Linked DNA regions of Pelodiscus sinensis. The protein of the gene in region 2 binds, or shares a complex with, the protein of the main gene of each other region. Links are inferred from orthologs where the notes say so. Each region holds a gene or a part of one and is shown on either strand. Other genes may lie near its edges.

Region 1 (7,345 bases), on a different chromosome or scaffold from region 2:
AAACGGAGCAACGCAACCAGCAGCCGGCTCTGCTCCACCACCACCTCCCCGCCAGGTTGCTCCGCTCTTCTGTGGAGCAGGAAGCAGCGCGCCCCAGCCTCTGCCCGCTCCCTCAAGCGACACAGGGCTTCTGGGGGAGCAGGCGGGGGGCTCTGCTTCCTGCCGCCGTGGTGAAGTGACCCACATGGCTGCAAGATGGAGATGGAGCAGAGCAGGCTGTTGGCTGCATCGCCCCACTTCCGCGAGTGGGGGGGGGGGGCTTGACCCCTGTTGCTCGCCCTAGGCCACCTTCAGGCTAGTGTCCATGTGGGGGACCATCCCATCCATAGGACAGTTGGGGTAACCACTGTGGGCCAAAGCTTGGGGCTGGGGTGGTCATCCCGAACTGTCCTGTGGATTGGATGGCTGTGGCTATTGATCAGCAGCTGCTGCTCTCCAACTGCCCAGCTCTGGGGTCCCCCCTACAGAGCCAGATTTCACGAGGGAGATCAGATTTCATGGCCCATGATGAATGTTTCCCAGCCATGATTTTGGTAGGCCCCTACTAATCTGGGTACAGAGGCTGATGTCTCGGGGGAGGCTCATGGTGGTGGTGGGACCCGTCCCGGACTGAGAGAGAGAAAAGACCAGGCCGCAGAGAGCTCTTCCGCTTCTCTCCCCAGATCTGAGTGCCCACAGCCAGCCCTCACTGGCTATCGCGAGGGGCTCTCTCAACCCCTTTTTGACCTGCCAACCACCCATGGGGGATGGGTACCTAGAGTCCTGGGATTCTGCTGCTTTCACTACCACTGTGCTTTGTGTCCCCTGGTGACCCCTTGTGTGTGGCACCCACTGGCTGAGTGATGCTGGGTTAGCTTCCAACCCCATTCCCTCCCCTCCTGCGCTTCCCAGCTGCCCTTGCTTGTCTCAGGGACTCTCAGCCCCTGCACGCCCTCACCTCACAAGCAAACAGCCGGAACTGCAGCCCCAGGATCTTGTAGTCTATCAGCTGGTTCCCTCGCAGCTGGGCCAGTGCCTCTTTGAAGTCCTCAATGGCCAGTTTGTAGCTGTAGAGCAAAGAAAGGTGCAAACTCTCAGGGCACGGCTCTGGGCTGCCTGCCATCTTTCACGCCCTCAGAGCCCGGCTCTAGCCTGAGTTGCTGGGAGACGACCCCCGCCAGCCCGTGGAGTACTGATGGCCGTTTACCATTACCCAACTCCTGGGGCCAGCTGGAGTGGTTCTCTGCCTCGAGGGACTCAGCTGTCAGATATTTTTGGTGTGACTGTGTCCATGGCGGTTTGCCAGCCTGCTTGCCAGCTTGGAAGTCTGTCCCCCTCTCCCTTCCATCCAGGCTCTTTCCAAACCCACAACCAGGGTGAGCAGCATCGTCGCTGCGCTAGGCGGCTGTACAATGTGCCAGACAGGCCCTGCCCTGCAGGCTTTAGCCAGCTCATCGTCTTTGTTTTTGGGGGTGTCTTTAAAGGCACTGGGGTATTCCCCAGGTTCCCATCCCCACTCGCCACCCACTAGGCCTCCGCCTCTAAGAGAACCTGCTTCTCTTGGGAGGTGAGTCCTAGCTCTAGTTACTCAGCTTTGGCAGCACAACAGGACGGCCTTGCCAAATGGCTGCTCTCAGCCAGCCGGGAACCAGAAATGGCTCTGTCTAGAAGCAGCACGACACCCCCCCCCCCCCTCCCACCGGAGATTGCCAAACACTCACTTTTCTCTCCTGTAATACACGGTCCCCCGCTGGAAATAGGCCACGGCCAAGTGCTTGTCGCAGTGAATGCTCCTGGAAAACGCCTGCAGAGAGCAGAAGGTGGTTCAGACCTGGCACAGGCAGACTGGCCGAGAGAGGCAGGAGGAGACCTGGACACTGACGGGGAGGTCAGGGTGGAGCCTGTGCCCATGCAGAGCAGTGGAACGTGCTGAGGGGAGACCCTCCCAGTGCTGAGGGGAGCCACGAGGGCAGCGTGAAGAAGAAAGGGGAACATGGAGAGAGGGGAGACAAGGGGAACCCCCCCACACATCCTGCCTGCCCCTCCGTTACATGCCTGCTGGGTTTCCCCTGACCAGTGTTTCTGATGCCCCAAGTGGAGACTAGAGCTGAGTGGGAAACTGGAAAGGCCGCCTAGGCCCACGTTGGAATTTCTCTCCCCGACCCCCCATTGCTCTAGGGCAGCCAATAGCCTGGTGCCCAAGGCACTCGCTGGGGCCTGGACAGCTGGGAGCAAGTCCCTGCTCTGAATCAAGAAAACCATTTTCTGCCCGGCTCTTGCTGGGTCCCATGTGTCAGCTGAATTTGAGCCGAGCGGAAGGCATGAACTGGGCAAATGGAGGCATTGTCGGCTCCCTCTCTTCCTAACCAGGCCCATGCACTCTCAGGCCAGCAGTAGCTGAATGGGCACTGAATGCCCCCTCTCCTGCACCCCCCCGCCCGCGCTGCACACGGTCTGGCCAGTTTGCCGCCAGCCCCTCGGGGTCGTGCCGAGGGCCCTGCTGCCCGTCAGGCGACAGCACAAGCCAGGGGCTGCACCTGCTTGTCTGCAAGTCGTCCCAGGGGCCAGCCACCCGCCTCAGTCCCTCGGCGTGTCAGGGGCGCGGTAGCTGCCGTCTGGGCTTTGTGGTGCACCAGTCAGACCAGCCTGTGGAAGGGGCCTGTGACAGGAGGAGTGTGTGTGTGTGTGTGTGTGTGTGTGTGGGTAGGGAGGGGGGGTTCTTACCTCCTCTGCCTCAGTCAAATTCCCCAGGGTCAGGTGGATGCAGCCAATGTTAAAGCAGAGTTTGGAAGGGGGGTTCTGCACTGTGGTGAAAGCACCCTGCGCGGCTGCCCAGTCCTTCCGGTCAGCCGCGCACACTCCCTCGTTCCACAGTCGGATGGTCTCCGCCAGAGCCATGGTGCAGCAATGGGGTCAGGACGGGCCTCCCCTTGCTGCAGCCCTGCTTTGCTCTCTACAGCCTGCCCCTGCCCCTGCCCCTCTGCACCGCTCTTACTTGTACTTCTGTGTTTCCCCCGGAGCCCGCAGTGTCGCAAACCAACCAGGAAGTGTCCCCACTGGTAGTTACTGACTCAGCCCTGCTGTGATGGGGAAGTGGAGCAGATGCTGGCCAGGGTGAATTATTTCCTAAACGTATTCTTGGTGTGTCACTCTAACTACCCCCCCCCCCCCCACACACACACACACTCTCCCCCTCGCCACGGCCGCCCCCACTGCTTTCGACTTTGCTTTGCAGGGATCTTCAGCTGAAGTCATGCACATCTGTCAGAGGGTGGTTGTGACTTGGGGGGTTGTGCTTGTCATAGTGAGTGTGACCCTGAAGTCGTGGCTGAGTCACAGCGCACTGACAATGCAGCCTGGAGGAATCGGAGCATCAATGCCAGGGCCCCTTGAAAGGCAGCCTGAAATGTCCCCACGGCTTCCCCAGGGCAGCACCTAGCCGCCCTCTGGTGCTGGGTGCATCCTCTTCACTGCCCTCCAGGTGTGGGAGGGGAAGTGCAACCCATCTAGCAGGCTGAGGTGACTTAAAACAAGGCTGAAATGCCAAGGTGTGTTTGCAGCAATTGTGGGACCAGGCCTGTCACTTTGGCTGAACTCAGCCTGCAACAGCTTCTCCCCAGAAATGAAAATGCTAAAACTCCTGCTCTTGTCCTGCTTTAATGCTGGTTTTTCACAGTATCATGACTCCATCGCTCCTTTGGCCTGTGCTTCAAGTGCACTTGTTCTGTCACTAGGGTTACCAGGTGGCTTCCAAAAAAAATACCGGACACACTTCATCTCAGATTGGGGAGGGGGACCGGCCAGGAGGGGAGTGAGGCTGGCTGGGAGGAGGTGGAGAACCAGCCAGCGGGAAGCAGGGCTGGCGGGGTTGGGGGCAGTGGGGCTGGCCGGGGGAGACCGGAGAGGGGAGGAAGTAGGGCTGGCCGGGAGGGGGTCAGGGAGAGTGGAGCTGGCCAGGGGAGTGCAGGAGGATTGGGGGGAGAACCAGCCGGCGGGAAGCAGGGGAGATCAGAGGAGGGGCGGACCAGCAGGGCTGGCTGGGAGGGGAGTGGGGAGAGTGGGGCTGGCCGGGGAGGAAGTGTGGGGAGAGAATTGGCCAGCAGGGAGCGGGACTGATCCGGTTGCACGCAGATCCCAGGGCGCTGCCCATCCCGCGCATGGTCCCGGTGAAGTACGAGCAAGTCTGGCCCCGGGGATTCCCTCCCGTCCTGGCCCCGCGCCCCCCTCGTGTAGTTTCGTACTGCCTGGCTGGTAGACATACTCACGCAGCGTGAACGTGTCTACAGCCAGGCAGTTCTCAACTACACACTGATACGCCTAATAATAATCAAACGTACCGAATTAGAAAATACCAGACAGTTTATACGTCCGGTATTTTCTCAATTTGTTTCCTGGACAGAACCCTCAAATACCAGACTGTCCGGTTCAAAACCGTGCACCTGGCCACCCTATCTGTCACGAGCAGCACAGGCTGGATCTTTTGAGGGCTTTGTTCAACCTCCGGCAACTCCTTTCTCTGTGAGAAGAACCGTTTCCTCTCTTTTCTGTGCCTTGCATTCTTCCTGGCTCAGGGCCCAGCTCTGTTTGGGCCTACAGTTTCCATCACAAGATAAGAACCAGCCTGCAGAGGATTTTGGTCCTCAAAAGCTGTGAATTTGACCCTTTTTCCGAGCACTAAATTGACCTGACAGGAGGCAGCACAGACCAGTGCAGAGAATATTAACCTGGGTGTCCAGCAACCTGTGCTCTGTTCCCAGATCTGCCACTTACTTTCCTTGGCACTGGAGCCCTGTATTCTTGGGCAAATGACTGCCCCTTTCTGCCTGAGTTTCCCCATGTTTAAAATAGGGATATTTATATTCACCTTCCTTCCTAAAATAGTGTGAGATCGGGGAACGCAACTGTTGTTAAAACTCCAGCACCGTGGCTACATCCTAAGTAACTCTCATGCAGCCCTGGATAAACCTGTCAGAAATTCTTTTGTCTGATTTCTGCTTTTGCGTGGGTGGCGGGGGAATCTGTATTCCTGAGAAACGGTGACTCATTTGTAATCAGAAATACAATACAGAGCATCTCAAGCTCTCTCTCTCTCTCTCTGGCTCTTAGGTAACAAGCTCAGCACCATCAGCATCTACTCAGGCACAGCTTGGGGACTATGATCTCCTGCTTCCGGAAAAGCGCCTTTGCACGGGTGAAGAGGCATCGAAGGAACGGGGTGGGAAAACAAACTCCGTGTGAGTGTGGAAACTCTTCTCTGTGGGGCCCGTGGTCGCCTTTTGTGCAGGAGTCATTTAAAATGTGTTTAAAATAGACATTTAAATGCTCAGCGGCAGCGAAGCTGCTGCTTACTTCCTCCTGACTGTTCCTTCCATCTTCTGGCTCGCCATGCAAAGCAGCTTGTTATTGGGCCCTGTGACGCTGGTCAAGTTGCTTCACCTCACTTCTGTCTGCCAGCTTCCCCTCCCGTCAGTTTGTGTAGGTGGTTAGCTCTGCTAGTGCCTGGGGCCCTGCGCTCAGCTGGCGCTGCTGGCTGCCACGGTAATAGAAATAAAATCAATACGAGAGACAAAGACCTTTCGTTCCAAAGGACCAGAGCTTTATCCATGAGAGCAGCAGCTTTTCTTATGCCACATCAGCTGACAGAAAGGTGAGAGCATCTGAAAGGTACAGTACATGCAGGGGTGGCCAACCCATTCCGGACAAAGAGCCAAAATAGCAGTGGATACAGCGCGAAGAGCCAGGGCAAAATAGTTGAGGAAAAGAAAAAAAAAAGAAGTCCCTCCACACCCCTCCCCCCAAGTTGTTGGGGGGAAAAAAAAAGGACTGCCCCCTTAAGAAACGCATTTAAAGGCTCCCACTGGCCACCGCCATCTTGAAGATGCCATTTTGAATGGCCATGCTGGACGGCTCCCCTGATCCAGAGAGCACAGGGAACGATGGCTTCCTTCTCCAGAGAGCACAGGGAGCCGGGGGCCATTTTCAGGGGTGCAGGGGCGGCTTCGTGAGCAGCACTTTCGGGGGGGAAGAGCTGCATGCAGCTCGCGAGCTGCGGGTTGGCCATGCCTGGCCTAGTGCATCCATTTTCCCTCTATTAAAACAAAAACTAAGCAAACGACCAACCCCAGCAGGTAGGTATTCATCTCGACTTTCAGTGCTGGAGCGGGTGTCTTCCTCGTGGTACCTGCTTGACATAATTGATTTGATGTAATTGTTTCATTCTATGAGGTGGTAAACTTCAAGAAAACCTGGCACTTCCATTTGCTAACATCTTGCTTCCTAAAATCCACTACAAACACTGGGGCTGTGTCTAGACTGGCAAGTTTTTCCGCAAAATCACACGATTTTGCGGAAAAACTTGCCAGCTGTCTACACTGGCCGCTTGAATTTCCGCAAAAGCACTGACGATCTCCTGTAAAATCATCAGTGCTTTTCCGGAAATACTATGTTGCTCCCGTTCGGGCAAAAGTCTTTTTCCGAAAGACTTTTGCGCAAAAGGGCCAGTGTAGACAGCATAGTATTGTTTTCTGCAAAAAAGCCCCGATCGCGAAAATGGCGATCGGGGCTTTTTTGCGGAAAACCGCGTCTAGATTGGCACGGACGCTTTTCCGCAAAAAGTGCTTTTGCGGAAAAGCGTCCTGCCAATCTAGACGTGCTTTTCCGAAAATGCTTTTAACGGAAAACTTTTCGGTTAAAAGCATTTTCAGAAAATCATGCCAGTGTAGACGTAGCCTAGCCTTCACAGCACCCCTGTGAGACAGCGTAGGCTACAGTGGCCTTCCTGAAATGCAGCCACTTCTGGGGCTAGAATGCAGCTGTTTTCTGTGTACACAGTGCAATACACAATAGCTGAGTAGTTTTACCTTTCAGACTGGTAAGGGGGGAGGGATGCAGAGCAGTGACACTGAAACCTTCCGCTAAGCGCTTTGTGTGCCATGAGTTTTATCTGCTAGGGATGATCGTAGACTCACAGGAGTGTAGGAGAAGCAAAATGCAGGACAATGTAGCACTTTAAAGACTAACAAGATGGTTTATTAGGTGATGAGCTTTCGTGGGCCAGACCCACTTCCTCAGATCAAATAGTGGAAGAAAATAGTCACAACCATATATACCAAAGGATACAATTTAAAAAAATGAACACACATGAAAAGGACAAATCACATTTCAGAACAGGAGGGAGATGCGGGGGGGGGGGGGGGGAAGAAGGAAGGAAGGTAAGTGTCTGTGAATTGATGATATTAGAGGTGGGGAGAGTGGGATGTTTGTGAGTTAATGGTATTAGAGGTGATAATTGGGGAAGCTATCTTGGTAATGGGTAAGATAGTTCGAGTGTTTGTTCATTCCTTTTTGGAGAGTGTCGAATTTTAAC
Region 2 (8,000 bases):
AGGGGTGGGGAGGGCTTGGGGCTTCCCTCCCCCACTGCAGATGCCGTTTTAAGGCTGGCCCCTAGTGAGGCCAAGAGCCCCGTGTCCAGGGAGAGCGCCCCGCTTTGGCCTGGCCCCGTGCTGTCTGAACACTGCTCACGGGTCTTCCCGGCAGCCGGCCCCGCCCCGTACCAGCCCCGGCTTCCTCTTTCTCCGCAGAGCGGCCAGAGGTCCCCTTGCGCAGCAGCTCGGTGGAACCAGGGCCTGCAGGCGGCTCCCAGCTGTGGGTTTGGCCGGGGCTGGTGTGAGAAGGAAGCCCAGGGCTGGAGGAGACCTCAGGCAGCATTGGCGCCAGCCCCCTGCCCAAAGCAGGACCAACCCCAGCTCCATCAGCCCAGCCGGGGCTGTGTCCAGCTGGGACTTAAACACCTCTAGGGGTGGAGATTCCAGCCCCTCCCTAGGGAACCCAGCCCAGCGCTTCCCCACCCGCCTAGGGAAAGAGTTTTTCCTAATCTCCAACCTAGACTCCCCCATTGCAACTTGAGCCCATTGCTCCTTGTTCTGCCCCCACTGAGAACAGCCTCTCTCCAGCCTCTTTGGAACCCCCTTCCGGGCATTGCAGGCTGCTCTCAAATCCCCCCTCATGCTTCTCTCCTGCAGACTGAACAAACCCAAATCCCTCAGCCTCTCCTCTTAGGTCATGTGCTCCAGCCCCCTTATTATTTTGGTTGCCCTCCGCTGGACCCTCTCCAGTGCATCCACATCCTTTCTATAGTGGGGGGCCCAGAACTGGACACAATACTCCAGATGTGGCCTCACCAGTACAGAATAAAGGGGAATAATCGCTTCTGTGGATCTGCTGTCAATGCTCCTACTAATGCACCCCAATATGCCATTAGCCTTCTTGGCTACAAGGGCGCCCTGTTGACTCATCTCCAGCTTCTCATCCACTGTAACCCCAGGTCCTTTTCGGCTGAACTGCTACTTAGCCAGTCGGTCCCCAGCCTGTAACAAGGCTTGGGATTCTTCCGTCCCAAGTGCAGGACTCTACACTTGTCCTTGTTCAACCTCATCAGATTTCTTTTGGCCTAAGCCTCCAATGTGTGTAGGACACTGTGGCCCTCATCTCTGCCCTCCAGTGTCTCTACCTCTCCCCCAGCTTAGTATCACCTGCAAACATGCTGAGGGTGCAATGCATCCCCTCCTCCAGGTCATTAATGCAGATGTTGAACAAAAGCAGACCTAGAACAGATCCTTGGGGCACTCCGCTAGAAACCGACCGCCAATCTGACATCGAGCCATTGGTCATTACCCGCTGGGTCCGACAAGCTTGCCAGCTTTCCAGCCACCTCTTGCCTGTTCCTCATCACTTTCCTCTCTTCGCAGTGCTTCCAAGCTTGTGTGATGCAAGCTGTCCCTGGGCACCCCGGGGTTACAGCCAGAGAGGAGGGCTGGGGAGCAGGGGCAGGCTGGTGCCCAGGGGCAGACCCTTGACCTGCCCTCCCTTGGACAGCAGGATGCTCAGAGGGTGTCTCAATTTCCCCATGCACAAGGCACTTGGTCAGCTGTTTAGTGCTGGCTGCAGCCTCTGCTGTACTCACAGCACTAGCGCTGGGGTCCTAACAGCCCTCTTCCCTCTAACTGGCTTTATTCCTCCACAGCCAGGCCCAGGTCCTCAGCTGCTGGATGATCCCGGCCTGCATCTGCTGGGAGCGGATGGGCTTCCCCGTCCCAGTGCCTGAGCAGCCGCCCGGCAGACGTGGAACGAGACGCTTCTGGGAGCGGGGAACCTGGGCCGGGGCTACGCTGGTTCCGTGGCTGGCACGCACGAGAGGCGTTCGGGGCTTGGCCATGGGGAGTTGGGGATTGTGGGGGAAGAGTAATGGGCTGACCAAAGCCCCCTCGCAGAATGTATGCAGCTGGGCCAGTGCCAGCCTCCAGCGCTACCCACAGTGCCTTTGCCCACGGGCCAGGGCCTCTCCCGGCTCTGGTCTGCCAACCGAGGAGGGCAGGCGCTATGAGGCGACGTCTCTGCTAGGAAGAGGACTGCGACTCGCCAGCATTGGCTGGGAACAGCTCCATGATGCTGGCGGCCCTTGGCTTGCCTGGGGTGGCCTGATGTGGGCTGACCTAGAGATGAAAGGCTCTTTCTTACCTGTCCCTTACCCAGCTGGCGCTGCATTCCTGTCTCTTCTCTCCTCCCCCCTGCTACTCTGGTTTTTAAAAATCCAGCACTAGCAGTCTGTTTGAAAAGCCCAGCTTCCTGATTGGTTTGAAGTGTAAATGCCCATGAATGGAACTCTCTGGACCGACACGCGTCTGGTCGTTTGTGACATTACATCCTGCCCTACTTCCCTCTGATTTGCTACAGGGCCGCACAACCCCCACAGGTAGGGGCTGGGAAGAGGGTGTCGTTCCTGAAGAGGCTGGAATGAGGCAGGTGAAATTCCTGCATCCCATGACCGGCACTAACCATGCACATAGGACTGGGGAGTTACTTCAGCAAACATCAGGAGTCAAGCCCCCAGGTGTTCGGCAAATTCCAGATATTCTTTGCCTACCTCCCATTCCCATATGCAGCTCCATGGTGCGGAGTGATTTGTCACTTCCCCAATTAAAGTACCTCCCTCTTCCTATTGGAAGGGTGGTGCTGTGCAACAGCTGCAGTGTTCCGCCCCAGAGGCAGCTGCATTTCAGAGGTGTGATCGCTAGTGCAAATCCAGCCCCTAGTGCATGTGAAATGGAAGGCCTGTAGTATCCAGCAGTGCGAGTGGCTTTATGCAGCATCTTTTCCTGATGTCCCACCCAACCATCCTGCAGTTACTTGCACCTGAATAGCAGCTTCTCTCTGGTGGGACACACTGGTGGTAGCTGGGCTGTTGCCAGTGCTTGCTTACTCAGGGTGAGTGTGGCTACAGGCTGCCTGGTTGGCTGAGTATTTTTTTAAGCCTAGAGCTCATTTAATGTCTTGGCTGCTGCAGTCCCTTCCCACCCAGCTGTTCCCACTAGGGCCTGGTTTGATCCTGAAAGCCCCAGTCTGGGGGAAGTGCCAGAGGGAAGGTTACTATGGCAATAGTGCTGCCCGTTCAGGAGGGATGGGGAGCCATGGGGGTAAGGTGTGAGATGGGGGTCCAGCCCCCTCTTGGGTTGGAGGAAAAGCCTAAGGCAGGGGTCTCCAACCTCTTAAAGCAAGAGATCACTTATGAAATGTAAGTGCAACTCAAGGTCTACCAACCACTCTGGCCCCGCCTCCTTTATGCCCCTTCTCTGAAGCCCCGCCCCTACTCCATCCCCCCCCCCCCTTCACTTTCATCAGGCTGGGGCAGGCAATTAGGGTGCCGAAGGGGGTTCTAGGGGCAGGCTCTGGGCGTGCAAGGGTGCTCCGGGCCAGGGCAGGAGCTTAGGGTGCAGGAGGGGGTTCATGACTGGAGTAGAGTTTCAGGGTGTGGGCTTACCACAGGTGGCTCCTGGGCAGTGGTGCAGTGGGGCTAAGGCAGGGTCATCCCTGCCCTGGCCCTGCACCCCTCCCAAAGGTAGCCAGCAAACTCCCTCCATCCCAAACCCTGTAGTGCCCCTCTCTGCTCTGTGGAGACAGGATACAGGGTCGGAGAGGGGGCAACTTGACATCAGCACCCCTCTTCTCCCTCCGCTGCCCTGCATAGAAAGCAGGAGGCTCTCGGGGGTGCAGGTAGGAAGCTGCAAAGCAAAGAGCAGCTGTGCCACAGGCTTGGGGGTGGCGGGGGAGGGAGCTGAAGTGCTGAGCTCGACAATCTCTTGGCCAAACCTGTCAGAGGCGCCAAGCTCCATCAGTAGGTCCCGCTGTACTGGTTGGTGGCCGCTGAGCTAAGGGGTGGGCCCCGGTTTGCAGGCCTAGGTGGGGGAGAGCTTGCTGGACCAGGAGGAAAGTGGGGGAGCTCGGAAGGGAGGAGGCAGGAAGCTGTTTGGGGGATAAGGCAAAGGGTGCACTGGGCCCTAGGGGGAGGGGAGATGGGTGCAGCCTGCTGCAGGCCAAGAACCCACAGCGGTGAGGTGAGGAAACTGATTGATTTCCTCACCAACTGATGGCAGCTGTCACCCCTTCAGCTGCGGTTGCCAAGCCCCAGGCAGGGGGAAAGCATTTCAGGCCAGGTTGGGCCGGGGAGCCTGCTGCCCCCACAGGGCCGGGCTCTGCTGCTGGCACACGGCCGCCGTCCTCTTGTTCTCCACCCTCTTTGGTAGCCCTGCCTTAGCAGGGGTGGCGGGCGAAGGCCCAGCTCGGGAAGGCAAGTCCCTGCCCTTTCAGCAGCCTTCCTCCCCCCACCGCTCCGTGCAGCCCAGCCCAACCGCACGGCTGAGCGGGATCGTTCCTGGCCAGCCAGAGGACTGGGGTTGCCAGGCTTGGCCCCAGTGGGGAGCATAGTCCGTTTGCCTTCCCTTGCCTATGCTACCCACCACCCCCGCTCTGCCCCTGCCATGCTGTGCGACTGGGGACAGGTCCTGATGGCTCGGTGCCTCAGTTTCCCCAGCTTTAACCTTGTTGAGAGCAAGGCCCTGCCACTCCAGGATCCTGTTCCCAGCCCTACCACTGATGCCAAGAGTCCCCGTGGCTCATCCAGGCTTAGCATTTTCGTAGCAGAAGGGACCCCCCCCCTCCGCTCAGCACCCCACAAGTGTCCTACAGCGGAGGGGTGACACCATAAGCCTGGCACTGACCCCTGCCCACGGTGTTCCTGCCTGACCCTGCGCAGGGTCCTCGGCAGGGCGGGAAGCCGCTGAGAAGCAGCCCAGCCAAGCACCCGCCTGACCCAGCCCTGCAGCTGCAGAGGAAGGAGCCTCCCTGACCCCGGCTCCTGGCTGGCAGCCGGAGGCCGCTGCGCTCCCGTGCCTCAGTTTCCCCGCGTGCCGGCTGAGCGCTGCCCCCGCCGGCGGGGAGGGGGAGGGGGCGGGCGGCGGAGCCGGCGGCGCCCCGGGCCCGCTGCCGCCGGGGGAGGGAGGTTCCGTGTGCGGCTCCCCGGCCCGGCCCCGAGAGCCCCGCCCGCCGCTGGGCGGCCCGCTGCCCCAGGGCGGGGCCAGCAGCGGGGCCGGGCCGGGCCGGGGCGCAGTGGGTCCCCGGGCTGCCGCTGGTGCAGCCAGAGCGCAGCCATGGGGCGCATCGAGTGGGCCATGTGGGCTAACGAGCAGGCGCTGGCGTCCGGGCTCAGTGAGTGGGGCGGGGAAGAAGGAAGGGGAGCAGGGGGAGAGGGTAGGGAGGGGAGCTGAGGAGGAAGGGGGGTAGGGAGGGGAGCTGGGGGAGGGGGGAGCAGGAGGATAGGAAGGGGAGCTGGGGGAGGGGGAGCAGGGGGTAGGAAGGGGAGCTGGGGGAGGGGGAGCAAGGGGGTAGGAAGGGGAGCTGAGGAGGAGGGAGGGGAGCTGGGGGTAGGAAGGGGAGCTGAGGAGGAGGGGGGAGCAGGAGGCTAGGAAGGGGAGCTGGGGGAGGGGGGTAGAAAGGGGAGCTGAGGAGGAGGAAGGGGACCTGGGGGTAGGGAGGGGAGCAGGGGTAGGGGGTAGGGAGGGGAGCTGAGGAGGAGGGAGGGGAGCTGGGGGAGGGGGGAGCAGGGGGGTGCTGGTGGACGAGGGCTGGCCTGGTAGGCGCTGGGGAGGGGGGTGCAGGGCTCAAGAGGAGGTTGGAAGTGGCTGCCTGCCTGTCCCAGGATCATTGGCACTGGGGGGCCAAGGGAAGGCTCCTCTCTGGGTCGTGGGGTCTGAGCAAAGCCCACCCCTCACAGGTCCCAAATTGCAAGATCCTCGCTGAAGACTCCCCACCCCCCGCCCGGGGGGCCTGGGCAGCAGGGGCCGCAGGGCAGCGCTGGCCATTCGGGCAGTGGTTGGGCCAGGGTTGAGGAAGTGAAAGACTGAAATGGGGAAGGAAACAGCGGGGCTGTTTTTCTCTGAGGCCTCTTGCTTAAGGAGGCGCTGCCATTGGCCTGATAGCATCTGGTAATAACAGGGCCACGAAAACTCCCACCGCAGGGTGGGTTCGCTGCTTGCGCCACCAGCTTCGCTTCTGTAGCGACACCGGAGTGCACGGGGCCCTGTTCACACCAGGGAGCTGTGCTGCTTTGTACCGTGCCGCCCCCCGTGCGAAGGCCGTTACCCCCGTCTAAAGCGCTTGCAACTAGGATCGTGCAGGAAGGGAAATAAATATCCGCACACAGGGCTGACAGCGTCCACGCGGCCTCCCCCAGGGACATAGCGACTCTGCAACAGGGAGCCAGGCCTCCGCTTGACCCACAGCTCTGCCGCTGGGAAGAGTTTGTGCAGGCGTCTCTTCTTCCAGAGAAGGAGCTAGGATCCCCCATGGATTTGTGACATGCAGGTCCCTCTCCCCCGCCCCAGCCATGACCTGGTTGCAAACTTTGCTTTAGCTGGCATCCAGCGAGGAAAATCTCTCGATTGTAGCCGGTTGTGTCGCTGGGACTCGCCGACGCTGGAATCAGGACACAGTGGGTGTTGCGGGGGCGGGGCTGGCGGGAAGAGAGGAATGAGATGGCAGGAAGGGAGCCTTTTGCTGCTTGTGACTGGGCGTTGGTACCGTCAGGTGACTGTCACCACCGGGTGACATGGTGACAGGGGGCAACCTGGAGTCTGCCGGAGTTCTAGGTGTGGCCCGTGAGACCTTTTGTTACCCATGCCTGTGCGCAGGGTTGCCAGATTCCACTGGTTTTCCATCCACAGTTGTTTTTTTCTACTTCTTTAGTCTGGCGCTCTCTGGTCCAGCAGCATCCGTGGTCCGGCATGACTTTAGTTGTCCACTTATCGTGGGTGTGGCCAAGTTTCCCGCGGTCCCATAAAGTTGGGCTGTGCTGTGATTTAGCTCTGATTTACCCCTCAGTGTCTTCTCAGAGCCCAGCAAGCAGTGGCAGGGCTGGTCATGCTGCCAGACAATACTGACCTCCTGGCAGACTCTCTGGTTCGGCACCTGTATTCTCTGGTTGGGACTAGGGAGGTTCCACCTGTATTACTAAAGTGACGCGCATGTAAAGCAAGGAGGTGTGAAGTGAGGTGTGCGCTGATTGGCTGTGCGCTCCCTCTGCGTCCAATCACAGCGCCGCTACGGTTCAGTCGGCACCGCCCACACGTTTTAGGTACGCCAGCGCAGGGAGTAAAACCGCCCTCGCCCGGGACACTGGGTTGGGTGCAACATCTTGCAGCGCCCTGAGATGGCGGATGCTGCTTGTGCGGCTGGCTCGCTAGCCTGGGTGGCCCATCGCTGCATTGCGGCCTAGTTCCTATGGACAGCTGGTCGTCTCCGAATCCACCCTCAGCCTGGCCCCCTTGCTGGCAGTGAGGGTTCAGACTGGTAGCCCGAAATACTGTCCCTTGGGCGTGAAATTCGGGGCCTACTGAAGTCGTTGGCAAAACTCCTGCTGGCTTGGATGGCTCTGGGCTATTGGCGGCGGGCGGAACGGCAGGCGTGTCGTCTGGCCATAGCAGTGTGTCTGAACAACAAGGGGGTGCCATGCGCTAGCCCCCCCGGTACATTCTGCGGCACCTCCCTCATGCTGCGGCCACGCTGCTATTTTCACTGAGCTGGCTCCCTCTAAGCTAGCCACCGCCGCCCACTGTGGGACGCTCCCCCATTGCAGGGTGGACCTACCCTGGCTCTCCTGCCAGCTCTGCAATGGGGACGCGCGCAGAGCGAGGGAGCTGGGGAGAAACAGGCCAGCACCTGCCGGAAGCGCAAACCCGCAAATGGCCGGTTTATAAACGGGAATGTGCAACGCTGTAAGCAAAACGCGCAGCTGCTGGCAAGTCCTATGCCCGTGCCCAAGCGTTAGCAATCGCCCGCCTGGATCGGGGTGGGTCCGGCAGGTCTGGGAACCTGTCCCAACGCCAGCGGCTTTTGGCCAGACGCAAGGCATGGATGGACCAGGCTGTCTGGTGAGAAGGCTCCTCCATCCATCACGTAGCATCCGACCTGTGGCCCGAGGCAGGCGCGGTCGTAGCACTTGGAACCCTTACCCGTGCCAGCTGGGGAGCTGCCTAATTAGTGATTGGCGCCT
Region 3 (7,949 bases), on a different chromosome or scaffold from region 2:
AGTAGCAGTCCCGCCTCCCATGGGTCACTAAGCTGTGGAGATAATAAAGCAAGGCCTTGATGAGCCTGTCCACATTCCTTCCTCTTCCTTTTAGCTTCTTCCTCAAACTCTGTGAGAGGAACAAGACGTGTACCTCACTCACATACAGGGCAGCAAACCCTGGCCAAGAGCACCCCGTGGTGGCTAGAGAAAGGCAGAAGGCAAAGCACAGCTGGCTGACGATACTAGGTTGTAAGCCTTTTTCGCCTGTGGGCCTCCAAACTCCAGGCAACTGTGTTAGTAGGTCTCCAGACAGTGGATGCCACCAGTTTCTCCTAGTTGAGTGTTGGCCTGTCTTAACACTGCAGTGCTTGACTTTGCAACCTTAATGGTCTTCTAGCAGATTTTTCAGGATGTAATATGCTAAGTTTTTTCAACATTTAAAAGCCAATAATTTCATCCCATGGAACTGCATTGGCTTCCGTCCCCACCACCTGCTCTGTCATCAGCAGGGCTGGGATCTTTAGCTCCACAGCCCAGTCCTCCACCCCTGGAATTAATGGCAGCAGCAACAGGCAGTTGTCTTCTCTGTGGACCTGCCACCAGAGGGGGATGGAGACACCTACTTTGTCACAGGGTTTCACAGCTGTTTGCTAGACCAGAGCAGGATGCTGAAACTCTAGACTCCAGGGTTCTGTTGAACTTTCCTGTTCTGCAGAGGAGTGTGCTGGTTGCTTTCCATATTTTCTATTCTTTTGCATATTGGGATGGATAGCAGTGTGGCCAAAACGTGGCCTGTGAATGGTATATGGCAATTTTACCATTAAAATGTGGCTTGTGGAGCCTCACACGCCCAACCCCATTCTCCACCTACCAGACTTAGGGTACGTTTACACAGCAACACTATTCCAAAATAACTTAGCCTATGTCTACACAGAAGGCGGTTATTTCGAAGTAGTGTCAAAATACTGTCAAGCTACAGGACTTCTTACTCCGACTTCTGTAACCCTTATTGTACGAGGAGTAAGGGAAGTAGGAGGAAGAGTGCTCTATGGCGGAATAAGTGATGTGTAGACACTCTCTATTTCGAAATAAGATACACAATTAATGTAGCTCAATTTGCGTAGTTTATTTCGCAGTAAGCCCTGAAATGTAGATGCATCCATTGGGTGTGTCTACTCAACAATGTTATTTCGGAATAACAGCTGTTATTCCAAAATAACTATGTGAGCGTCTACACAGCAATTCCATTATTCCAACTTCTGTAAACCTCATTCTATGAAGAATAACACCTATTTTGAAATAAGGTATGTGAAGATCGGGTATGTCTACACACAATTTTTATTTCAGGAGAAGGATGCAAATAGCTCTGCGTATTTGCAAACTTCCTCCGGGTTTTTTTTCGGAAGATGCTCTTCCGGTATTTACCCATGTCTACATGCGTCCAGATTTCAAAATAAACCCCTATTTTGAAAGACCCCTGTAAAGCTCATTGTAGGAGGAATAAGGGATCTTTTGAAATAGGATTTTATTTAGAAATAGGAGTTTATTTAGAAATTTAGACACATGTAGACGCGGTTAAATACTGGAAGAACGTCTTCCAAAAAAAAGAAAAAACCCTGGAGAAAGTATGCAAATGCGCAATGCTATTTGCACCCTTCTCCCAAAATAAAAATTGTGTGTAGATATACCTGATGCTCCACTTCTGTTATTTCGAAATAGCCCCTCACCAGAGCCACTCTAAGTTATTCCTCCTAGGGCTCTAAATTGAGAGAACACGTCTATATTAGGGAAGCCTGCCTCGGACTAATTTTGAGGCTTCCCTGCAGTGTAGACATGTTATTTTGAAATAAGCTATTTTGTAATAACTATTCTGGAGTAGCTTATTCCAAAATAACTGTGCAGTGTAGACGTAGACATAGTAATTTAGTTGGAGTCGGTCCTGGTTTTGGTAGGGGGCCGGACTTGATGACCTCTTGAGGTCTCTTCCAGCCCTAGGATTCTATGAGACTGGGATGTGGGGAGCTAGGGGCTTCTGCCTTATGGGGAAAGTGGTCTTGGGCCTTCCGCTCTGCAGGAGACACCTGCTGGGGCTTCAGCAGGACTGTGGCTGAAACTGCAAGCCCTGCAGGCCTGTAGCCCCACGCACTGGCTGGCGTGTCCCACAGACACTACTAGCCCTGAGCCCCAGCTGGTGCACCCAGCTCTCACACTTCTGAAGATTTTTGTATGCAGCTAAGAGGTCAGTAAGTTTGGCCAACCCTGTTATATAGCTAGTGAACTGCTATCTCCTTCTCTATTTGGTTTGTTATATTTTCTCTGAATGGCTCATAGCCTGGCCATCCATGGCATGTGCGTGTTTCCCAGATTAAGCTGCTTTCCCCTTTTGTTATATAACCACATCCCTACCAGCCAGCTGAGGGTCCCATGGTTAAGAAGAATGCGGGCTGATTGGGTGGAAGGGAGGCCATCTGCTCAGGAGTGCAAGGCAAATTGGCTGGAAGGAGTCTGTAATGATCTGTGTGTGCTTGCATTTATGCTGTTCTGCCACTAGATGTCTCTGTGGATTGCATAAAGTTCCAGGCAGGGGGTGATCCCTGAAAACCAAGGAGACAAAGCTGGGACTCAAGCTGTGCGGAAGCCTGGTTGTCCTATAGTTGTAACTGACTTGTTTAATAATGTCACCTGTTTAAGATGGACTGATACTCCATATGGTATGAAACCAGCCAAGGAGGCCCTTCAATCCCACAGTGACAGGCAAAATATAAGAACGTAACTGGGACACATAGATCTTCCTTTAGGGAGGGGTTGTCAAACTGTGGGTCAGGATCACATTTTAATGGGGCTGACAAGGCTGGCTTAGACTGGCTGGGCCCCACGGCTGAAGCAGAAGCCCTTAGGCTTTGGCTCCCCATGTGGAGTGGTGAGACTTGGGCAAGCTCAGGCTTTCATCTCTGCTCTGGGGGTTGTGCAGTAATTTTTGTTGTTAGAAGGAGGTTGCAGTGCAATGAAGTTTGAGAGCCCCTAGTGTAGGGGAAAGGAGATGAATAGGACTTTTCAGGCTGGGGCACCTCTTCTTCCTCCATCAAGGGCTGTGCCTGCTGGTCCCCTACTTGTATATCTGAACATATATGGCTACATCTACACAGCTTCCCTCTTCTGCAAAAGCCTATGCAAATGAATCGCAGATTAGCATATTGCTGTGCTTCATTTGCATAATTAATTAGGAGCCGTTTTTGCAGAAGAGGTTTTTGCGCAAGAGCCGTTCTTCCTCATTTTTTCAAGAAGAATGGCTCTTGCACAAGAGGGGGGTTTTGTGCAAAAAGGTGCTGTGTACATGGTGCCTTTTTGTGCAAAAACAGTGCCTAATTAATTATGCAAATGAAGAGGGGCAATATGCTAATCTATGCTTCATTTGCATAAGCTTTTGCAGAAGAGGGAAGCTGTATAGATGTAGCCTGTGTGTTGTTTCTTCACAGCACCAATCTGGGCAGGAGTGGAGAGCGGGGAAAGGTCTTCTAGAGGCAGAAGCCATGCAGAGGGAGAAGCAGAGTAGCAGCAGAGATAATGCTGCTTTCCTGATTCTAAGAAAGTTCCTTGTTCAGCTGTCTCTGAGTTTATTGCTCACACCTGACACCAGGAAGGCTGGGAGGCCCTGCAACAAATCAGTCAGGAGCCCACTCCTCTTCTGCACTCATAGCAGATTGCCCTGCCTAGGGAGTGCTCACTGCACCTGCCTGAAAGAAAGGGGGCTCTGGGGAAGCCGGAATGCAAAGGGGACCCCTCCCTTTGCAAAGATGAGTGAGTGTTGTCCCCTCCTTCTCCTCCTTAATGTAACCCCTGACTGGAAGCAGCACAGCACCCCCTGCTGCTCAAAGGGGGACAGAAGGTGTAGAAAAAATTGCTTAGGTCATCAGGACATGAAACTGGTTTTTAAACTGCAGGTGCATTAGGGCTGCCAGGTGTCTGGTTTGCAGCTGGGATGTATAGTTGAGAAGGGAACCTGGCAGCGTGCCGTCCGCAACTGGCCTCCACCACGGGAGAGGGGATATGGAAAAAGCAGCAGCTGCAGCCGGAGGCACATGGAGGCGCTGCTCTCTGCTCAGTAGCTGATGCCTGATAGAGAGCAGTGGCAGGCTTCCAGATCTGGCTCCAAGAAGTAGAGGAGGATCCGGTCTGCTCACCCCTCCCTCCCCCAACTGTTACTTGCATAAAATGTGGTCAGCCTCACACTCTAGGGACACCCACTCTTCTCTGTTTCTATGGCTCAAGAATTACCTTCCACTATAGGCACCCACCCTCAGCCTTCCATGGGCTCCGGCATAACCTAACACTCTGTGGGTTCGCAGGGTCTTTTATCCATGGAAGAGCCTCACACAGTACTATCCTATTTAACAGTCCTACAGTAAGACAGATCAACTTTTCCTGTTGGCCAAGCAGGATCAGGTCCGAAGCTCCCCCTAAGCAGCGCAGCTGTGCACTTTCTCGTTAAGCCCCACTCATATCCCACTATTTTAATGTAATTTGGGCGGAATGAGGATGCGACTTCCTGCGTCTTAGTTAATGGCTGCTGCTCTTTCCATCTGGCTGCAGATGAGGGCTGTAGGCTTTAGGCCTTACAACATGGCTACAGAAAAAGGCCTTGTTCTTACATTTACACTGCCCTGCTGTGCCCTCATTGCCCTGGCCCCTCACTATGGGGATGATCCCTGCTGAGCCCCAGGCAGGCTGCATTTTAGCTTCTCCCAATCTCACTCTGCGAGCAGCAGGTAAGTCCCAGAAGAGGTGGGACTGGGGTGGGGAGTGGAGAGTGAGTGGTAGAGGGAGGCGGAAGAGCAGTGAGCAGGGGCGGGGTCTCAGGAAGAGGAGGGGCGGGGCTTTAGGGAAAGAGGTGGGGCAAGCAATTAAAAAGTCGGCAGTCTTAACACTAGCACAGGCCCCGCCTTTTTTTAGCTGTAGCCTGAACTACTGGGTGGAGGGGGGACTGACGTGGAGGGTTAAGTAACATTCTATCTATCTTCCACTTCCTCCCTCCTCACAATCTGCTGCTTCCTTCACGCTAGGTTTGACATTACATTTGTACAGGTCTTTCCTCTGGTCACCTGAGAGCATTAAGTCTGCCTGACTTCTCCTGCCCCAGGAGCCATCCTCCTCCGTGAGGCCTGAGAAATGCAGGCCATCAAGTGTGTGGTGGTGGGAGATGGGTATGTACCTTCTTTTGTGGTGGAGGGGGGCAAGAAGGGGGAAGGTTGGTTCTTAGTGAAATGTCACCTTCTTTGCTTTCGATTTCCTCTGAACGGCTTTCCCTTTTTCTGTCAGGTAGGGTGTATGGGGGGAGGGGAGGGGGCAGCCTGTGATGGAGGTTGTGCATTATGTCGGGGTTGGGGAAGGGCACTTTTCAGAGCAGGTGGAAAAGAGCCGCTGAAAGACAACCTATGTGGCTATTCTCCCCTAGATGAAGGTGCCCCCTTTACAGTGTCTCCTCCTCTGCGGCTATTGATGGTGGAAGGGGAGCCAGGTTTAAAATAAGGTGGGGGAGACTAGTTTCCCTTCTACTGGGCCACACCACACATGACTGGGGAGGGCACCGACACATGGTGGCAGTGGTGAATGGAGAGCGCTGTGGGTCCCCTCCTGTGGATCTGAGTTCCCATGCCTTCTCTAAGGGGGGGGGGGGTCCAAGGGGGCACTCCGGGGAATTTCCATGGATACAGCAGCAAGATGTTCCTTTCCCTTTTGCCGCTGAGGGGCACAATGTGCTCCGTCTGCCTGGGCTGTGCGAGGCGATGAAACCCAGGCAGCTGAGCATAGCATAATCACCTGATTTATCCACTGCTTGGGCAGCATGTATGTGGCCTTGCCAAGGCCTTCAAGAGCAGCAGCTTCCTCAGGGCAGTACCCAGAGGGCTGCTGCCCCTGGGCAGGGAAACAAGCATCCAGGGCCCAGGAGAGTGTCTGTGAGACCGGAGTCACGTCTGGCGCTCAGAGTGAAGCCAGTTTCAGGCGGGGAGCTGTTTTGATGATGTTATCTGGGGCAGATGAAGTGACATTGTTAGAGGCCCTGCACCCCACAGTCACTTCCTCCTTCCCACTGGCCACAGGAGGAAGTTTGCAGACAAGTGATTAAATTTTAGAAACCACCTCGGAGGCGGAGGCAGGGGCAGGCAGCAAGGGTGGAGGAAGGGCAGAGAACTACAGTACAAAGAAAACCCCAAACAAATATTGCTATGGGTCAGGAAAGTACCATAAAGATCAGAAACTAAGGATTATGGAGCTGTACCTGAAACAACTCGCACAGGAAACACCCTGGGACTAACCCCACAACTGCCCCCACCTCCTGTCCCTTAACCCTGCTAACCTCCAACACAACAGCAGTATTCTTCCCCAAAGCTCTACCAGCCCAGAGCCCCCTCCAAAACTGCTATCCCCATAAACTCACCATAGCTCAATGGCTGTATCCCCGTAATCAGTCCCCAGCACAATCACCCGTAACTCTCCTTCAGAACTGCTAATTCCATCACTTCCTCCACTACTGGCACTCTGCTAACCTCAGAGCCTCCCCCACACCTCTGCTTTCCCTCCCCTCTGGAGAGCCTCACTGGCCCTATAAACCTCCCATCCCTTTCTGCTGAGAGGCTGGAGCCAGGCATACAGTGATGGAGAGTGTGGGAGAGATTGAGGAAAGGGAGAAGAGAAAGGTAGCAAAAGTAGAAAGGAGGAAATGTACGGGAGAGGCACAAGAGGCACTCCAATTCCTCCTGAGTCTGCACAATGCAGCAATGGGGGCTGTAACCCTGTGACTCATGCCTGCTCTCTCTTGCCCTCCAGGCCACCTTGCAGGGGCAAACACTAGGGCTGGGTAGAAAGTCTTAGAAAGATTTTGTCGATGAAATTGGCATATGCTAAGCAGTGACTCACGTATCCTGTGTGGAGAGAGCAAGCCAGCCTTCCTCCCTTACCTAATAACCAGATCTGATTTCTCATCAGCTTCTTGCAGGACTTCATGGTGCTGCCTCCCACCAGATCAGTATTGTTATCTCCATTTTACTGATGGGGAAACAGAGGCAGGATAAGATTGAATGACTTGCCCTACATCCCTTTAGCTTTCCTTGTTTGTCTTGGCTGTGATTCCTGGTCCTCTCTTTTTTCCTTCATAGTTGGTTCCCTGGCTCTCCACTATATATGGTTGGAAACTTTTCCATGAAACTTTTTTTTTTTTGGACAGAAAATGTCAATGCATTGAGATGGTGTCTCGGGTCCACAATGAAATTTCTGGAGAACATGCCTTGGAGCACTCAGTTTGACTGTGGGGGACACAGGTTTAAATCCCTGCTCTCCTGGCATTTCTTTGTAGTGCCTTTGGCCTGGTCTCTCACACACTAGTTAGTGTCTTCTTCTCGTGATTAGAATGTGTTCCTGTTCTGCCCACCATGGTCCACTGAAAGCTGGGTGGTGGTGGTGCTAGTCACTTCGGAGTGTTTGTCTGCACAGCAAAGAAAAACCTGCTTGCTGTGGGGCTGTTTCATTGCTGTTTAGATAGCTGGAGCCCAGGCTCTGGATTCTGCCACTCTGAAGGATTGTAGAGTCTGGCTCCAGCCTAAGCCCGGAAGCCTACCTAGCAATGAAACAGCCCGACTCAGTGAGCCTGGCATGGGCCAACCACAGGTGTCTAGTTGCTGTGGTGACATACCCTGACATACAGGAAGTCAGAGTAGATGATCTGGTGGCTTTTCTGACCTTAAACCTTATGACTCTGTGAGATGTGCAGAGAAGGAGGGTGAAGAGAACTTTGACTGTCAGGAGCAGCCTCACTGCAGGCAGCCTGGCTCGGAAGTGCCATTTCAGCTGGAAGGAGTGTGTGGTGACTATGAGGCTATGTCTACGCTGCTGGCTTTTGCCGGCAGAGGGTATGCTAATGAAGCGCTCATTAGCAGTGGTTGCACTGTCATTTGCATATTCTCTGCCGATGC
Region 4 (7,778 bases), on a different chromosome or scaffold from region 2:
AAATGACCTCTTATACAAAACCACAAATTTTGAAAGTATTGTTATGGTTAGTGTGTAAATTATTACGAAGAATGTGTGTATAGTTTGTTACACCTGTTTCCTCTAAAAACAACAACATAATAGCTGATGTACTTGATCAGACCAATGGTCCATCTAGACTTGTATCCTACCTCCAACAGTGGCCAGGACCAGAGCTTCAGAAAGCATGTACGGAATGGAGAAGTTCTGGAGTGATACATTCCTGTCTTCTGGCAGTGGTAGGGTGAGGGTACATCTAGACTGCGGGGTTTTTCCAGGATACTTCTGCTACATCCAGAGAACGCATTCGCGCCTTCATTTTTTTTTATTTTTTTATTTTTTTTTTGCAGAAGAGCAAACACGATCTTTTGGGAGCCCTCTCTTCCTCATTTTAGGACGAAGAAGGGATCTTCTGAAAAAGGGGGATTTTCTGAAATTTGGCCCAGTGTAAACAGGCCAAATTTTGGAAAAGCCTCTCTCCCCCCCCCCAAAAAAAACCCAGAAAAAAGGTATGCAAAATGCAGTTGCACACTGACCATCTTGGCTAAGCAATTTATAGACCAATCCTTCATGAATTTATCTTATTCTTATTTTGAAACCAGACAGACTTCATTCTTTCAGAACATTTAATGCAGACAAGATATTCATTTTAATAAAGTAAATATAGGCAAAGAACTAAGATGTTAATTTAAAAATTAAAGTTATTTTACTCTTTCATTATAGCAATTTAAGATAAGTGAAAGCCAGCATCAATTAATTGCAGCACTAATAAAGTCTGTCAGAACATCATTCTTGCGTACCATAAGCAGTAAGAGCAAGCCAGGTATCTCACATGAATTTTGAAATTCAACATTGTTTAAAATAAGTTTAACAAATAATTAAATATTAATGAAGACTATTCATTGCAAAGTAATATGATGAAAACAACACTAAATTACATGGGGCTGACGGTGATTTCTTCTAGCTGTACTTACACTCCTCAATCTATCTACACTGGGTTGCTGTGATGCCCAATTATGCTTAGATTACACTGGAATGTTTGTTTCCCAAGGAAAAAAAATGAAACTGCATAAAACGAGTCTTGTTTTCCAGCTGGCCTGTGATGCTCTGAGAGCTCTGATACCTAGTAAGAAAAAAATATTCCAAAATAGGGGGAAGAGCTTCCCTTTACTAAGCCTATTTTATCATGGAGTACTAAAATATCAAAGTACCTAAACACACACACGCCTTCTAACATGTTCTTTACAAAGGAATCCAGCAGTTATGCATAAACTCAGGCTCAATTCCATTACAAATAACTAAAAGTTACTTCAATTATAGCAGGGAATGCAAAAGCACTAGAGATGCACATAGTTCTTTACAGACGATTAAAACATGACAGTTTGAGAGGTTTTTGCATTAGAATAAATACCTACAGGCTCCTACTTTACTAACATAGTAAGATACAGTCCTTGCCCTGCAGAGATGGCAATTTACACTGAATTTGTAATCTACATTTTAATCTTTAACAATAAAGACACAGATCTATCAAAACACCGACTAACCCTACCCATGTTTATCACTACTCTAATGAAGTCTTTCTAAAGGAGAGAGATAAAAGGGTAAGTTTTATGTTCAGTTACTTCAACAGTACCTTTACTATATAACTTCAAAGTAGGAAAGAACTGTTTGAATTAAACATCACAAATATAATTAGGTATCAGGGGAAACAATTGTGTCCACTACTAAACCAATTGCAGTTTTGAACCAGTCAGCAAAGTGGATAGCTACAATAACTTGGGGAAGTTAACTATCTCTTTGCCAGCATATAAAAGGAGTACATATCCTCATGTACACAGAAAGACACTAGTTTTGTAAGCATGAAAACTAAGCAACAAGTCATCACTTACCATCCACATTTGAGATACCTGTCCATTCACCACATAAAACAAGAGCTCTAGGGCATCCACCAATCACCAACACCCTTATGTTTCTTAGCAATAACGAAGCCATCGCCGTACCCATTTCTTCCACCGCTCCCCATTTGCCAATAGGAATAGAAGAACCACCAACCCTCCACAGATCCCCTTCCCTGGTGGCTCTGCTTCTACAGCAACTGCAATACAAATCTCACCACATGGCTCCACAGCCCTGAAATAACTTGCTGCTGCCTACACTCCGGCAGAGCACCCCACCCACACTCTCACACAATTGGGGATGGGAGAAGCACTTAATATCAATGTCCTCCAGTACCAGGGTGGGGATTAATCCATTTGTTGCAGTTATTTATAACAGCGCCTACTTCAGAGGACCCTATACGCGCTGCCCGTCCCCAACAGGGAGCCCTGAGGAATGGTGTTGTAGCTGTGGGTGAAAAGTTTGTTTTCTGTGTGTGACGGGGGGAGAAACAATAGTGGAGCCGGGCCACCCAGGGAGAGAGAGAGAGGGAGTGTCCCGCCCAGCCACCCCACGCGGGGGACGGACGCCTGGGGAGGCCCGCTTCGGCCACCCGAGGAAAGTGAGAACATACCCCGGGGGAAGAGAGGCCCGCCCCGACACCCCACGGAGGAAGGGGAACATATCCCCGGGGAGAAGAGAGAGGCCCATCCGGCCACCCACGGACGGCGGGGGACGGAGCCCAGACGAGAGGCCCGCCCCGGCCACTGGATGCGAGGGGACTTCAGAGAAACTGGGGCAGCCCCTCGCGGAGCGGGAAGGCGGGTGTGGTCGGGTCCCACCCGGGGAGAAGCAGCAGCCGGCCGAACTTACCCGTCTCCCACCACCACACACTTGATGGCCTGCATCGGGGCTGCTGCGGGGCCGGGTCTCCGCGCCTCCTGCTTCTACCTGGCTGGGAAGGTCCGTGAGGCGAGGGGCCCGCGTGTCTGCACCAGCGTCTGGCCGCCTCCGCCCTCAGCGCCTGGAAGCGGGGACGAGGCAGCGGCCACCACCCAAAGCGGGGAGAGCGGAGTGCTGCAGGGAAACAGGAAGCGACCGCCCCGCTCACATCCGGCCTCGCTGTGCTCAGCCCCCCCCCAACTGCCCCGCCCGGCCGGCCAGGCGGCTTCGGAGCCGTTCGGAAAAGCTCGGGCTCTCGTTCCCCGCGACAGCCGCGACTTCGTTAACGTTCGGCAACACGTGACTCACAGCGGGCTGGGCTTGGCTTCGGTCATCTTCGGCACTGTTCGGACGTGAAAGGGGCTCGGCTCCGTGTCCGTTACCTCAGGCTGGGGGGTGTCCATACTTGTGCTACTAACCTAGTCCGGGAACCTGGGGGGGGGGGGAGGGGGTGATGAACTGGCCTCTCGCTCCTGTTCTTGTCCTTATAGAATCATAGAACCATAGGGCTGGAAGAGACCTCAGGGGGGCATCAGTCCAGCCCCCTGCCCAAGGCAGGACCAATCCCGACTCAATCAACCCGGCCAGGGCTTTGTCAAGCCGAGACGTAAACACCTCTAGGGATGGAGACTCCACCACTTCCCTAGGGAACCCATTCCAGTGTTTCACCACCCTCCTAGTGAAACAGTTTTTCCTAATATCTAACCTGGACCTCTCCCACTGCAACTTGAGACCATTGCTCCATTCTGCATCCGTTACTGTGAACAGCCTTTCTCCAGCCTCTTTGGAACCTCCCTTCAGGAAGTTGAAGGCTGCTATCAAATCCCCCCTCACTCTTCTCTTCTGCAGACTAAACAGACCCGACTCCCTCAGCCTCTCCTCCTAAGTCTCAGCCTCCTTATGGGCAGAGGGAGACTTAGTGTGACCATTGGTATCAATCCGTCCTGTGACACGGGGTCCTGCTAAAGTCACCACGTCAGAGGCAGGGCGTCGTACCTCAGCGTGAGGCCATCCCACTCAAACCCTAATCCCGCTTCCCTCGGGCTGTCGAGAGATGGTGTCATAGCCTGATGTAGGGCTATAAGTCACCATGGTGCCTACCTGTCAGGGAGGCCCTCGGGGAGTCCCTTTAACACTGAGCCTCAAGATATCTCATTGGTACCTCAGGAACAAAATGCAACCTGGTGACATTAGGGTGTGACATGGACGTGTCATACTACAACATAAAGCCACAAAGTCAGCACCAGAGACCTTATCACATTACCTTTTTCTCCTTTTAAACATCTGTTACAAGTTCAGTTCAGACAAGGGCAACAAAAATTATTAGGGGCATGGAACAGCTGCCATATGAAAGAGTGATTAATAAGACTGGGACTTTTCAGCTTGAAAAAGAGATGATGGGGGGAGGAGGGACATGATCTATAAAATATGACTGGTGTGGAAAAAGTGAATTAAAAGAGTTATTTATTCCATCCCATAATACAAAAGCTAAAGGTCACCAAATGAAATGAATAGGTAGCGAGTCTGAAGAAAAGGAAAAATGTCTCAGAGGAGTAACTGTGTTAATCTTTAAAAACAGCAAGCAGTCCTGTGGCAACTTAGAGATTAACAAATATATTATGTCATGACAACCACGAAAGCTCATGATATAACTTATTTGTTAGTCTCTAAGGTACCACAGGACTTCTTGTTGTTTTAAAACAAAAGGAAGTACTTCACACACCATTCAGTCAACCTGTGGAACTCTTTGCCAGAGGATTTTGTGAAGGCCAAGACTATAACAGAGTTCAAAAAAGAGATAGATAAATTCATGGAGGATAGGTCCATCAATGGCTATTATCCAAGATGGGCAGGGATAGTGTCCCTAACCTCTGTTTGCCAGAAGCTGGGAATGGGTGAGAGTGGATGAATCATTTGATGACTACCTGTTCTGTTCATTCCCTCTGGGGCACCTGGCATTAGCCAATGGTGGAAGACAGGATATGGGGCTAGATGGACAGTGAGCTGACCTAGTATAGCCATTATAATTTAATTTAATTTAATTTATTTATTTATTTATGTATTTAAAAATATTTTACCTCACCTCTCTATTTAAAATATAATTTTTAAAACATATATATATATATATATATATATATATAAAATTAAAATACGATGTTCTCATGTCCTGTTAGAAGGCAACCGAAACCACATCTTTAACCACATCTTCTTTTCAATGTGCCTTACATCTATAAATACCTCTATAAATAGTTAAATTATTTAACTGTGTATTCAAATATTTATACCAGAAAAGTTTTAGACATATATATAACTTAAGATATTAAAATAATAATTCAGTTTTGGATGGTTTCCATATATAATAGAAAACCACAGATCCATTCCATCTTTTTAACATGTATTTGTAAAGTGATGCATTTGAAATTATAGCTGAATTTCTCCCTTAAGCTAAGTATCCTATGAATACTGTACAAGGCAGTTGCTTACAGTTGTTTTTTTATATATATATTCCTTTAGGTACTTTAGGGATTGTTAACAAACTGTACTATCTCTATACCCCTGTTATTTACTTTATTCTTGCAATTCTATGTTTTATAAAATACAAACAAGATTTTCAAACATAGAAATAAATAATACAGTGCTGTAAATTTATACTGGTCTTTTTAGACAAGTTTTTTGTCCTGAGGATCAGAAAAGTGAGCGATGGGCCAAGGGGACAGACTGAAGGGTTAGATTCACAGGGTATGACTAGACTACATGCCTATAAATTAAACATACTGACATAGTCAATGAAGTGGGGATTTAAATATCCCCCGCTTCATTAGAATAAAAATGGCCACCGCGTTGTGCCAGCTCAGCTGTTTGTCGGCACAAAGCGGCAGTCAAGACGGGGATCGGTCAGCAAGGAAAGCCTTTGCCAACCAACCCCGTCTAGACTGCTGCTTTGTGCCGACAAACAGCTGAGCAGGTGGCCATTTTTATTCTAATGAAGTGGGGGCTATTTAAATCCCTGCTTCATTGACTATGTTGGTATGTCTAATTTACATGCCTCTGTCGGCAGAGGCATGTAGTCTAGACACACCCAGAGACTGACAATATGCTCCAAACCTCAGGATCAGATAACAGGCTAAAGGAAGTAGAGTTGCCATGTATCTGATTTTCAACTGGAACAACAGTAAAAAAGGGATCCTGGTGGCTCCGGTCAGCAGCACTGACCAGGCCATTAAGGGCATGTCTACACTAGGAAATTATTTTGAAATAACTAAATTCAAAGTAATAATTCCCAAAATAACAAAGTCAAAATAGCACATCCTTGCTGTGGGGGAGCCTCAAAATTAGTCTGAGGCAGGCTCCATTATTGTGGACATGCTACCTCAACTTAGAAGCACTGGGGGGTAATAACTTTGAATTATTCTGGGGAATACAGGCAGTCCTCGGGTTACGTCGGTCCAACTTACGTCGGACCCCTAGTTACAAACCGGGGGGGGCCGCGCTAGTGCGGGGTGCCTCCCCCACTGTCGCCGCCTCTGGCGGCGCGGGGGGCGCTTCCCCCCAGCAGACCAGGGAGACGCGGAGCTAGCGCCCCCCCCCCCCAGCGGACCAGGAAGATGCAGAGCGGCTTTTCTTGCCACGGAGGACGTGGGTGACGGGACCGCCGAGACGCACTGTGGTCCCGCCGCCCACGTCCTCCGCGGCGAGAAAAGCCACCCCGCGTCTCCCTGGTCTGCTGGGGGGGGGGCGCAGCTAGTGCACCCCACCCCCAGCAGACCAGGCTTTACTCGCCGACGCCTGGGATAGAGCAGCTGGGGTGCTGCCGGTTTGGTCCAGTAGCGCCGAGCAGCGGCGCTGTGGGACCAACCCAGCAGCACCCCAGCTGCTCTGCCCCAGGCATGTCCAGTTCAGCCGCTGCTGGTCAGTTTCAACAGCGGCTGAATCTGGACGCCAGTTCCGACTTACATACAAATTCAACTTAAGAACAAACCTACAGTCCCTATCTTGTACGTAACCCGGGGACTGCCTGTAGTTACAAGGCATCTCCACTGTAAGTTGCTCCAGTATACATTTGTTCTGCACTAAAGTCATTGACACTTGTAGGAACTGATGCATTATAAGTCCTCCAATTCCCTGCTCTTAAGTCGCGTACATTTTTTTTCTGCAAATGTAAGTCAGCCATAGGGGAAAAAAATCCGTTTTAAGTTATTTATAAGTCCAAGTTTTTTGGAATATATCTTGGACTTATATCAAAGACAGCCTGTATTTTGAAATACAGGCAGTCCCCGGGTTACATACAAGATAGGGACTGTAGGTTTGTTCTTAAGTTGAATCTGTATGTAAGTCGGAACTGGCGTCCAGATTCAGCCGCTGCTGAAACTGACCGCCAGTTCTGACTTACATACAGATTCAGCTTAAGAACCCCAAGTCAGCTGCTGCTGAAACTGATCAGCTGCTGATTCAGCCGCTGCTGGTCAGTTTCAGCAACGGCTGACTTGGGGACACCTGGGGCAGAGCAGCTGGGGTGCTGCTGGGTTGCTCCAGTAGCGCCGTTCCTCGGCGCTACTGGAGCAACCCAGCAGCACCCCAGCTGCTCTGCCCCAGGCGTCCGGATTCAGCCGCTGCTGAAACTGACCAGCAGCGGCTGAATCAGGACGCCTGGGGCAGAGCAGCTGGGGTGCTGCCGGGTTGGTCCAGTAGTGCCCAGAGCGGCACTGCGGGACCAACCGGCAGCGCCCCAGCTGCTCTGCCCCAGGGTCCACAACAAAAGCCTGGTCTGCTGGGGGGGGGGGGGGGGGCACACTAGCTGCGCCCCCCCCCCCAGCAGACCAGGGACACGGGGAGCAAAGCCGCAGCGGGGTGCCGCGCCTCTGAGGCTTTGCTCTGGCACGGGACCCGCCGCCGCTGCGGCTTTGCTCGCAGTGCCCCTGGTCTGCTGGGGACCGTCTCCAGCA

Evidence for each region.
Region 1: CYBA (region 2) and NCF2 share a complex: the UniProt entries of both Homo sapiens proteins name them as parts of the phagocyte NADPH oxidase complex. The link is inferred for Pelodiscus sinensis from reciprocal best matches to the Homo sapiens genes CYBA and NCF2.
Region 3: CYBA (region 2) and RAC2 share a complex: the UniProt entries of both Homo sapiens proteins name them as parts of the phagocyte NADPH oxidase complex. The link is inferred for Pelodiscus sinensis from reciprocal best matches to the Homo sapiens genes CYBA and RAC2.
Region 4: CYBA (region 2) and RAC1 share a complex: the UniProt entries of both Homo sapiens proteins name them as parts of the phagocyte NADPH oxidase complex. The link is inferred for Pelodiscus sinensis from reciprocal best matches to the Homo sapiens genes CYBA and RAC1.

The regions. Positions count from the first base shown.
Region 1 is NC_134719.1:57,237,613-57,244,957, reverse strand, and holds the start of NCF2 (neutrophil cytosol factor 2), read right to left. Parts: upstream 3,008-7,345; 5' UTR 2,878-3,007; coding exon 2,704-2,877; intron 1,784-2,703; coding exon 1,701-1,783; intron 1,047-1,700; coding exon 938-1,046; intron 1-937. UniProt on the Homo sapiens protein: Subunit of the phagocyte NADPH oxidase complex that mediates the transfer of electrons from cytosolic NADPH to O2 to produce the superoxide anion (O2(-)).
Region 2 is NC_134722.1:3,823,927-3,831,926, forward strand, and holds the start of CYBA (cytochrome b-245 light chain), read left to right. Parts: upstream 1-4,997; 5' UTR 4,998-5,100; coding exon 5,101-5,158; intron 5,159-8,000. Other genes in the region: MVD (diphosphomevalonate decarboxylase), read left to right, coding at 1,641-1,721. UniProt on the Homo sapiens protein: Subunit of NADPH oxidase complexes that is required for the NADPH oxidase activity that generates, in various cell types, superoxide from molecular oxygen utilizing NADPH as an electron donor.
Region 3 is NC_134711.1:92,837,720-92,845,668, forward strand, and holds the start of RAC2 (ras-related C3 botulinum toxin substrate 2), read left to right. Parts: upstream 1-4,948; 5' UTR 4,949-5,148; coding exon 5,149-5,183; intron 5,184-7,949. UniProt on the Homo sapiens protein: Plasma membrane-associated small GTPase which cycles between an active GTP-bound and inactive GDP-bound state.
Region 4 is NC_134726.1:23,058,034-23,065,811, forward strand, and holds the start of RAC1 (ras-related C3 botulinum toxin substrate 1), read right to left. Parts: upstream 3,009-7,778; 5' UTR 2,802-3,008; coding exon 2,767-2,801; intron 1-2,766. UniProt on the Homo sapiens protein: Plasma membrane-associated small GTPase which cycles between active GTP-bound and inactive GDP-bound states.